2 linked regions of the Ovis aries genome follow. The protein of the gene in region 1 purifies or fractionates together with the protein of each later gene. This does not show direct contact. Links are inferred from orthologs where the notes say so. Each region holds a gene or a part of one and is shown in the gene's direction. Other genes may lie near its edges.

Region 1 (4,431 bases):
TTCCTCCAGTTCCCTGACACAGTTACCACAGGGGTCTACACTTTGCAGGTGGCTCAGTGGCAAAGAATCCGCCTGCCAGTGCGGGAGCCACAGGAGATGTGGGTTTGATCCCTGGGTTGGGAAGGTCCCCTGGACGAGGGAACGGCAGCCCCCTCCAGCATTCTGGCCTGGGAAATCCTGTGGGCAGGGCAGCCTGGTGGGCTGCAGTGCTCGAGGTCAGAGTCGGACGCTACTGAGCGCGCTCACGACGCGCTGCCGTCTCAGAGGCCAGCCGGGGGGTTGCCGGGTGGGGGTGGGTGGTGCCCCCCGTACCCCACCTCACAGCTCATCCGCACCTTGGAGCTGCCTGCAGTGTTCACGGGGGTAGTGAGTCAGTGCAGGAGTGAGTGAAGCGCTCGGCCCCTGCCTGCCTCAGCCTGTGCTTGTTTTCAAAGGCGGGGAAGCTGGCAGTGGACCGCGGCTGGGCCATCAACGTAGGTGAGTGCCCCGGGGCTGGGCCTGGGGCCTGGTGGCAGCTGCTCGGATGCCGTGATGGCAGAGCTGCCCCCCGACCCAGGGACCCGGGGGCGGTGACCTGCCCCGGGGGGGTCCGTTTGCCTGGCCAGCCTGGAGGCCCAGAGCTGTCCCTGGGAGGATGGAGGGGGCACCTGGGGCGTGCCCTTGCCCAGCCCTGCCCACTCCACGACTGTCCTCGCAGGCGGCGGCTTCCACCACTGCTCCAGCGACCGGGGAGGGGGCTTCTGCGCCTACGCGGACATTACACTTGCCATCAAGGTGCGTCCGAGCGCTCGTGACGGGCGGGGGCGAGGGTGATCGTCTCCAAGAGCCTCCCTGAACGCCCCCCAGCCTAGTGTTCTCAGCACACTTTCTCACGAAGGGAGTCAAGGCCCCGAATGGGAGGGAGCTCACCTGGGTCCCTCAGCTGGGCTGAGACTCAAACGTGGACGTGACACCTGCTCGTGTCTGTTGCCTGTGGGCCTTCTCCAGGGGCCGGGGACCGGAGGAGAGCAGCTTACAGGACGCCACTAGATTATTAACAGGAGACAGGGCTCTGCTCCAGGAGAGCGGGGAGGAGACAGGGATCAAGACCTTGATGGTGGCAACAGTGACTGGCATCTGCGGGGCTCACCCCTTCACCCTCAGGGAACGGGGCCGGCAGGGCTGAGGGCACAGCCCGAAGGGGCAGTGTTGGCCGTGGCCTCCGCGGCTGTCAGAAGCCAGCGCTCTGCCAGCACCCGCGTCGGGGCTCAGGCTGGGTGTCCATGTGGTCCCCGCGGCTCCTGTTCACCCGGCGTGGGAACGGATGAGGAGGAGGGGCAGTAGACCCTGGCCGTTTGGAGAGGGAGAGGCCAGGAGGCCTGGCGGGAGGGGAGGGCAGGGGAAGGAAGGGCTTCCCCGAGGCGGTGGCTCTAGGGCCGGGCCCCTGTAAGAAGGCGGAGACGGCAAGACGGAGCTCCGGGTGCAGCTGGGAGGCGGTCCCCGCTGCAGACACACACAGGCTCCTCTGAGCCCCACAGACCTCCCGGCAGCCTGGGGTCTCCCGCAAGCACGGAGGCGCTCCCAGCCCACCCCGTCGCCGACCAGGGCCCCTGGGGGACCGCGCCCTCTCGCCCGGGGGGTCCTCACCTCTCCCCTCTCTTGCCCTGGGCAGTTCCTGTTTGACCGAGTGGAGGGCATCTCCAAAGCCACCATCGTGGACCTCGACGCCCATCAGGTGAGCGCCCGGCGGGGCTGGGGTCTCCCTCTCCCCAGGCGGCCTCCGACACACGGCCCCACGCGGTGGGGTTCCCCACCCCCAGGAACACCCCTGAGCCCCAGGCTGGGCCTCTGCTGCCCCTCCACCACCCCCCCGCCCAGGGGGCGTTCCCTGGGGCGTGCTGGGGGGTCCTGGCCTGGCCCCGGGTGGCCTGCCCTGAGCGCCTTCTGTGTCCCCACCAGGGCAACGGGCACGAGCGCGACTTCATGGGCGACAAGCGCGTGTACATCATGGACGTGTATAACCGCCACATCTACCCCGGGGACCGCTTCGCCAAGCGTGAGTGCCCCCCACCCCAGCGCGCCCGCCTGAGCTGGGCTCTGTCTGCCGGGCTTCCCCTGCGTGCCGGGCCCTGCAGACATCACTTCACTTCTTGACCCTCCCCATCCCAGGGAGGGGGAGGCCATCCCCACTTCACAGACAAGGAAACTGAGACCCGAGAGGTCGCTTGACCCACGGAAGACCGTGTAACAGCCCCCCCCCCCCCCGCCAAAGCACGCGGTGAATCCCTCTGCTGGGGTGGCTGCCTGGAGAATAGAGTGGGATTTTCTCCCGGGCATGCAGCTGTCCGGTCGAAAATAGGGAAGGACAAGAAAGAAACAGAAAAATGTAGAAGTAGAAAACGCAAGATAAGATGGCAGAAATCAGCTCAAATGTGACAGTTAAATAAATGCCAGTGGGTTAAACTCATCGATTAAAAGGCAGGAGACCCTTCGATGAAGCTTTGAAGACAGGGGGACCTGCCCACCCTGTGGGGAGGGGACACTTACGCAGAAAGCGCCTGCGGGTGACTCAGCCACTCTGTGGCCCCAGGGACCCGATTCCGAACTGAATCTCATCTCGAGCGGACTGGCTTCGGACCCGAGGGCACATGGGGTGTCTGTGTCTCTGGAGAGAGCTCACGGAGGCAGTGAGCCCAGGCGCCTGGTGTGGGTCCCTGAGCCCCAGGCAGTGTTCCATCCGCTGTCCTTGTGCTCTGTTAGCTTACTTTTGGGTGGGTGAGCGGCTGAGCAGCGCTAGAGTCAGATGGGAAAGCAGGCAGTGCCCCCAGCCCCCGTTTCCCGGCTGCACGCTGGGGCATCGCTGTCTCCCCTGCCAGAGGCCATCAGGCGGAAGGTGGAGCTGGAGTGGGGCACGGAGGATGACGAGTACCTGCAGAAGGTGGAGAGGAACCTGGAGAAAGCTCTGCAGGAACACCGCCCCGACGTGGTGGTGTACAACGCGGGCACGGACATCCTCGAGGGCGACCGCCTCGGCGGGCTGGCCATCAGTCCACAGGTGCGTCCCGGGGCGGGGCGGGGGCAGGCTCTGCTCTGGGGACTCAGCAGCGACGGGAACGTGGGTGGCACGGGCGTTCCTCCTGAGGCCAGAGGGCTGGGCGGCAGCAGCAGCATGGAGCGGGCTTAGACTCACAGCAGGACTTCCACCACCCTGAGGGTCCGAGCCTGCCTGAGCCCATCTTCCCCGTCCCCCGCACCCACCCAGGGCGTTGTGAAGCGGGACGAGCTGGTGTTCCGGATAGTCCGTGGCCGCCAGCTGCCCATCCTCATGGTGACCTCGGGCGGCTACCAGAAGCGCACGGCCCGCATCATCGCCGACTCCATCCTTAACCTGTATGGCCTGGGGCTCATCGGGCCCGAGTCTGCTAGCGTCTCAGCACAGAACTCAGACACGCCTCTGCTGCCCCTGGAGGTGCCCTGACCACGCTGCCCTCTCGGAGGCTCCCCGCCTGCAGCCCGTCCACCCACCCACCAGCCTCCCAGCGCATCTCCTCCTCCAGCCGAGGGGTCGGGGGCGCCTTGCACAGCTCCGCTCTCCCCCCGCCCCGGGTATTGGGGACTCCGGGCCCCTCTGCAGATGGGGCAGAGGGCAGGGCCTGAGTCCTGGCAGGACCCACAGGGGCACGGCCTGACCAGACCGCAGAGGTGGTGGTTCTCCCCAGAGGGAGGAGACAGGTGAGGCTCCGGTGCAGGGGGCGCTCCTCAGGGTGGGATGCTCCAGTTTTCAGCATAGCACGGCCGTTTCAGACTGAGGAGGCTTGCAGGATCGCCCTCCTGCCTCTTCCACACCCTCTCCCCCTCCCGCCAGGGGTGGGCCGTCTAAGAGGGGGCTGAGCCGGGTCTCTCTGGGCAGGGATTCCCAGGCAGCAGGCTCGAGCCCTGGTCCTGGATGTGGGGTCGCGGGGAAGGCGTGCAGGTACAGGTGGGTCTTCCCGTCTGGCTTCTCCATCAGTAAAGGAAGGGCTGGACCCGCTGTCCCTGAGCCCCTCCCCGCTCGTGGGAGGGTAGAGAGGGGAGCCTGTTCCACCAACATCTTGCTTGTCCAGAGGGAAGGGCAGGCTCGGGGTTGAGGGGCGGGGGATGAGCTCTGGGCTCAGGGACAGGACAGGCCTGAGCTCTGGAGGCCAGAGGGGTGGAGGGAACCGAGGCCTAGCCCAGGAGACCGCGGAGGGGCAGGTGGCCGGGTGGGGTCCCGCAGGCCTCGAGGCCCAGGTGGGGATTGCGGTGCTGGTGACGCCAGGCTGGGGTTGCTGGGGATGAGCGGAGGGTCTCCATCCTGGCCTGCAGCGGGTAGGGGGTTGGGGGCTGGGGTGAGGCCAGGTAGGGCTACAGCCTCCACTGGCCTCCCTGAAAATGTCAGGCCTGCCCTGCGCCTGGGGTCCCAGGTGGGCCCTG
Region 2 (6,379 bases), on another chromosome or scaffold:
CGGAGTACATCATGCAAAATGCTGGGCTGGATGAAGCACAAGCTGGAATCAAGATTGCCGGGAAAAATATCAATAACCTCAGATATGCAGATGACACCACCCTTATGGTAGAAAGCGAAGAGGAACTAAAGAGCCTCTTGACAAAAGTGAAAGAGGAGAGTGAAAAGGCTGACAAACTCAACATTCAGAAAACAAAGAGCATGGAATCTGGTCCCATCACTTCATGGCAAATAGATGGGGAAACAATGGAAACAGTGACAGACTTTATTTTCTTGGGCTCTAAAATCACTGCAGATGGTGACTGCAGCCATGAAATTAAAAGACGCTTGCTCCTTGGAAGAAAAGTTATGACAAACCTAGACAACATATTAAAAACAGACATTACTTTGTCAACAAAGGTCTGTCTAGTGAAAGCTGTGGTTTTTCCAGTAGTCATGTATGGATGTGAGAGTTGGACCATAAAGAAAGCTGAGTGCTGAAGAATTGATGCTTTTGAACTGTGGTGTTGGAGAAGACTCTTGAGAGTCCCTTGGACTGCAGGGAGACCAAACCAGTCAATCCTCAAGGAAATCAGTCCAGAATATTCATTGAAAGGACTGATGCTTGAAGTTCCAATGCTTTGGCCACCTGATGTGAATAGCTAACCTATTAGAAAATACCCTAATGCTGGGAAAGATTGAAGGCAGGAGGAGAAAGTGATGTCAGAGGATGAGATGGTTGGATGGCATCACCGACTCGATGGACATGAGTTTGAGCAAGCTGAGGGAGTTGGTGATGAACAGGGAAGCCTGACATGCTGAGGTCCATGGGGTCACAAGGAGTCGGACACGGCTGAGCAACTGAACTGAACTGAATGCAACAAAGGGCAGGTAATCTTAACCTCAAAAGTATTTTTGTGAATTAAAGAAAACCAGATATCTCAAGGAATTTAGCGTTATTCTATGTGTGGGAAAATGTAAGAGTTTGGGCTCACTGAAATTTCTTTCATATGTATCTCAGCTATCTCGGGCGGCCAGTACCCTGCTTTCCTCAGTACTCACTGTTTCAGTTTCAGTTCAGTCTCTCAGTCATGTTCAACTCTTTGCAGCCCCATGGACTGCAGCACATCAGGCTTCCCTGTCCATTATCAACTACCAGAGCTTGCTCAAACTCATGTCCATCAAATTGGTCATACCATCCAACCATCCCATCCTCTGGCATCCCCTTCTCCTCCTGCCTTCAATCTTTCCCAGCATCAGGGTCTTTTCAGATGAGTCAGTTCTTCGCATCAGGTGGCCAAAGTATTGGAGTTTCAGCTTCAGCATTAGTCCTTTCAATGAATATTCACGATTGATTTCCTTTAGGATGAACTGGTTGGATCTCCTTGCAGTCCAAGGGGCTCTCAAGAGTCTTCTCCAACACCACAGTTCAGAAGCATCAATTCTTCGGCTCTCAGCTTTCTTCATAGTCCAACTCTCACATCCATACATGACCACTGGAAAAACCACCGCTTTGACTAGATGGACCTTTGTTGGTAAAGTAATGTCTCTGCTTTTTAATATGCTGTCTAGGTTGGTCATAGCTTTATTCCAAGGAGCAAGCATCTTTTAATTTCATGGCTGCACTTACCATCTGCAGTGATTTTGGAGCCCCCCAAAATAAAGTCTGCCACTGTTTCCCCATCTATTTCCCATGAAGTGATGGGACCAGATGCTATGATCGTAGTTTTCTGAATGTTGAGTACTCACTGAAGAGCAGCTAAAGCCGGATCACAGGTATTATTTTCTTCCCAATTGCTCTGGAGAGCTGGAATCACTGACTACTGTGACATCCTTGTTTATTGATACAAAATGCTTCATTTCTCCTTTAATGCTTGTTCGGAGAGAGGACTTCACTCTCCCTAGAAAGTAGAAGAGCAGCAGATACCACAACAAAAATAAAAACATGTACAAATTAAAAAAAAAAAAAAAAAAAGAAAGTAGAAGAGCAGATCCAGTCCCAGTCCAGGATGTGGGCATAATGCCTGATTCCTCGACAGCGTTTGTACAAGGGAGCCTGTGAGCGCTGCTCTCCACGGCAGAGTCTGTGAGAACTTCTCAGCGACCATCTGCTCAAGCTCACCTTGCAAAGCAAAGAGAACGCTCTACATCCCCATACCTCATCCCTGGAACCCCAGCTCTCCAGCAGATTGAGAGAAGCAAAGCACGCATGCGAAGGGCGAAGCTGACATCTCAGCTGGGCGGGTCCCATGCAAGCAAGCGGTGGAAAGGCAGGAGCGTCTGCCTGGGTAGTTGCCCTAGAGGGGCGGGGTTAGCCGGCGGGAAGAGGAAGCTGCGCGGGGCGCTGGGGCCTCGGCCATGGCTCACAGGCCGAAAAGAACGTTCCGGCCGCGCCGAGCAGATTCCAGTGACAGCGACGGCGCCCAGGAGACATTTGCTGAACCCGGGGCGACGGGGGAGCAGGCGGCCCGGGACCCTGCGGTGGAAGGGCCGCCGTGTGGAAGAGGCCACGCAGAGGTGTCTGAACTGCGCCGCCGGGGCCGGGGCCGCCGCCGCGGCCGGGCCTGGGCTAGTTCCCGGCACGCCGCGAGAGCGGCTCCGCGCTTGGACGGGTCCTCGGACGTCCCAGGTGACGCTGGGCAGCAGAGTGGGCGGCCGGAGCGGGGAGTGGGGAGGGTGAGGTGGAAGTCCGCGGGACTGTCTAAAGGTTTCCGTAACGCGGTGCCTACTACAGCGGCGCTGAATCGCGGAGGTGCCTGTCTGTGAACGCTGGCCTGCTGCCTGCATGTCCATGTTGGGCCGCTTGGGGGCGTAGAAAGAACTCTGCGCGGTTTGGGCTTGTGTTTGCATCGTCAACTGAACTCTCACCAGTGACCGCTTTAGTGTTAATCTTGATGCTTTACGGAGAACCTAAATTGTCACTCAAAAGTTTAAAAATTCCTAATACTCTTCGGTAGGCGGAAGTGCTTTCTGTCCCCAATTCTTTTTCTCGAAAACACTTAACCAAACCGGTACGCTGGGAAAACTTAGGTGACAGACTTTTGGACTTTTTTTTTTTAATCGGTTATTTAAAGAAAAGATAAGCATAGCGCTGTGTCACTAACAGTAGATTGGGCTTCCCTTGTGGCTCAGCTGGTAAAGAATCCGTGCGCAATGCGGGAGACCTGAGTTAAATCCCTGGGTTGGAAAGAAGGGAAAGGCTACTCACTCCAGTATTCTGACCTGGAGAATTCCATGGACTGCATAGTCATGGGGTCGCAAAGAGTGGGACACAACTGTGCGACTTTCACTGATTGGTGACGCTGTAGACTACCAATAAAGTGTTAAATGCAATACAGCAATTTTGAAGTACCTTTGCCTTCTTGAAAATAGGATTCAGGCAGCATAAAGTTGTTTACATGAGATGTGTTCTAGTTTGAATTGAGTTTGATAATATAGTTAGAAATAAAGCTATATAGTTAGAGGAAGAAAGAAAAACACAGAAACAGACTTGGAAGGAACTTGTTTAAGTGGGGTCTTGAAGTATAAATACATTAACTTCTGACTTAGAGACGCATAAAAATATTTGAGATTATATTTCAGTCTAAAAGGAACTTCTAAAAATATTCCATCGTGAACTTAGTTGTAAAGTCTCTAGAAGCAATCAGCTTCTCCAGGTAAATGGCACTTTTTACCTACTTTGTCTTCAATCCATGGCACTCCAGAATACATAACACCCAGATTTGATGAACTGAGGTTAATCCCTGCCCTGTTAATATGAGTAGAATATCCAGTTTGTCACCTGTGGATAATGTCACCAGTAGAATGATAATTCAACATTTCTGGTTTGTCACAGGATGAAATACCATGTAGAAAACAAACTTATGTTACAAATATGTTACTTTTTTTTTCAAGATGGTATAATTTCAATAAAGTATCTGTAAAAATATATATATAGTTTTTGGTTATATAGTCATGAGGTAGGAATATTTTCACCCCAGTATTTTTAGTCCAAATGATTTGTTGATTTCTTAGTCATTGTTCATAATCATCTGTTTGTCTGAAGTGTTCATGATTTTTTTTTTAATATTTTTGTGCTTTATGTAAGTCATCTGATTAAACTTTGGTTCTCAAACGTTTTGTTCTTATCCCTTTGGTCTTAAAGTTTACCCTTTATACTCTTTAAGAATAATTAAAGATCCCAAAGAACCTTTGTTTCTGTGGATTGTATCTATGATGTTTATTGTTGTTCAGATGCTAGGTCATGTCTAACTCTTTTGTGATCCCAAGGACTATAGCCTTTCAGGCTTCTCTGTCCATGGGATTCTCCAGGCAAGAATACTGGAGTGCCATTTCCTTCTCCAGGGCATCTTCCCGACCCAGTGATCAAGCCTGAGTTTCCTGCTTTGGCTGAGGATTCTTTACTACTGAGCCACCAGAGAGGAAGCCCCTATAAGGTTTACCATATTAGAAATGAAGATGCATTTTTATTCTTTTTTAGATTTAACTCATTACATGTAAGGGTAAGAAACATTTTTATGAAAAACAACTGTTTTCCAAAAAATAGTAAGAATGACATTGTTTTCAGTTTGCAAATGTCTTTAATGTCTGGCTTATCAGAAAACAGCTGAATTCTGAAAGCTGTCTCTGCATTCAGTCTGTTGAAATATATTGTTTTGTTTGAAGGTGTGAAGAAAACCACAGATAGGTGATTAAGAGTATTTAATAGCCTTTTTAGTTCTTTGAGAGTATTCTACTTTAGTATTACAAAGAAGCTCAAAAAGTAATAGGTTTTCAAAGGTTAGTTTGCAATGGATGTCAAATGAAAAAAACACACAGTGTGAGAGTTGTGAGTTAAGTTTTGTTTGGGGCAAAATGAGAACTGTAGTCCAAGAGACAGCATTTCATATAGCTCTAAGAAACTGCTCCAGAGATGTAGGGAAGAGGTCAGTATTATATGTGATTTTAGTGAAGAGGAGTTGGGCAGTCAGAAACATACTTTATTAGAAGCTTGCTGCTAGTCATGAGGAGCAAATGTCACCAATAATGATTTTAGTGCTTTTCTAGATGTGAGGGGATGCAAGAACTGGGCTCATAAAATCTCCTGAAAATACCTGTCTGAAGGCCTGTTCTGCCAATTTTTCCAAAGCACAGAGTTCCTCATTCCTGATCTCTACCCTGAACTCCTTTCAGGATGTGTTGAAGATCAGTGACTATAGCAGTTTGTGATTTAATCCTTGTATAGACAGGAGGCAAGTGCCAATTTCTGCATGATACGTGGGAGCTGAAACCATATCATTTTGTTATGCTCAATTAGATTAAAATCCATCCATGTGTTTTGCGCTCTGAGTGAATCTTTTACCCATGCATGATTGGTAGCATCTTCGTTCCCTAAGCAGGGTTCAAACCTGCACTCCCTTCATTGGAAGGCTCAGTCTTAGCCACTGGGCTGCCAGGGAAATCCTTAGGGAGCATTTTTAAGATAGAGTAGTTATTATGCAATCTTAAATCTTAAGGTTATTCACAAATATTACAAAATAATTGTGAACCAACAAGTCCTTTTTTGTCAATAATACCATGAGTTCCTTTACGTTTTGCTCATTCAGTCCTGATAACACTTCTATGGGGTGTTCTCTTTTAATACTATCTTTGTTTATTGATTAATTGACTGTGTCCTTTCCAGAATCACACAGTGGAAATAGATCCATGATTTAGTTTGAGACTGCAGTGCCCATTATAATACTTCTTACCACCAGCCTGAATCCAAGAGTTGGATTTCTCCATTTAGTAACTTTGTGATACTGGGCATGTTATTTAGCCATTCCAGTCCCTAGTGTCCTCATCAGTAATAGCATTTACTTTATTGAATTGTGAGAACTAAATGAAATATATTTTGTAAAACAGACTTCAGTATGCCTAGCACATAGCAAGTATACATTAAGTGTTCTCTTCTTTATCTGCTTATTTACTACCACTGTTCGTCTTTTCTCTTTTAAATATTCCTTCTTTTTTTGGTCATTTACTTTTTTCTCTTTTTGTTTTTTCCCTTCCCTCTTTTTGTTGCATTCTTTAATAGTATGTATTTCATGTTATATCACTAGTTAAGTATTTCACTAGTTAAGTAGATAATGCAAATAGGATATATTGTTGCATATTTATTAGACTGTTCATTTCAGAAAGAAAGGAAGTTAAAGAAAGGTCTGCATGTCTACTTTAAATATGTGGAATAAAATTAAAACACCATATTTTACATACACTATGTGTTGTGTAGAATTTCATTTATTGATTCCAATATCCTGAATCTTTCATGTTATATTCAAAAAATGTCCTGTTAGAATCCAGAATGGTTTATCTTTCAGCCGAAGAAGAGGATGGAGCACACCATTCTTCAGAAAGTAAAGATGATCAGAGTTCATCTCCCA

What was found. The genes of interacting proteins can lie anywhere in the genome.
Region 2: the proteins of HDAC11 (region 1) and GCFC2 purify together in Homo sapiens (co-immunoprecipitation; 3 studies listed by BioGRID and IntAct, counting the BioPlex papers as one, with this or other methods). This does not show direct contact. The link is inferred for Ovis aries from reciprocal best matches to the Homo sapiens genes HDAC11 and GCFC2.

The regions. Positions count from the first base shown.
Region 1 is NC_056072.1:58,340,592-58,345,022, reverse strand, and holds part of HDAC11 (histone deacetylase 11), read left to right. Parts: intron 1-434; coding exon 435-477; intron 478-697; coding exon 698-774; intron 775-1,651; coding exon 1,652-1,714; intron 1,715-1,938; coding exon 1,939-2,035; intron 2,036-2,855; coding exon 2,856-3,034; intron 3,035-3,241; coding exon 3,242-3,457; 3' UTR 3,458-4,431. UniProt on the Homo sapiens protein: Responsible for the deacetylation of lysine residues on the N-terminal part of the core histones (H2A, H2B, H3 and H4).
Region 2 is NC_056056.1:62,828,999-62,835,377, reverse strand, and holds the start of GCFC2 (intron Large complex component GCFC2), read left to right. Parts: upstream 1-2,295; 5' UTR 2,296-2,336; coding exon 2,337-2,607; intron 2,608-6,292; coding exon 6,293-6,379.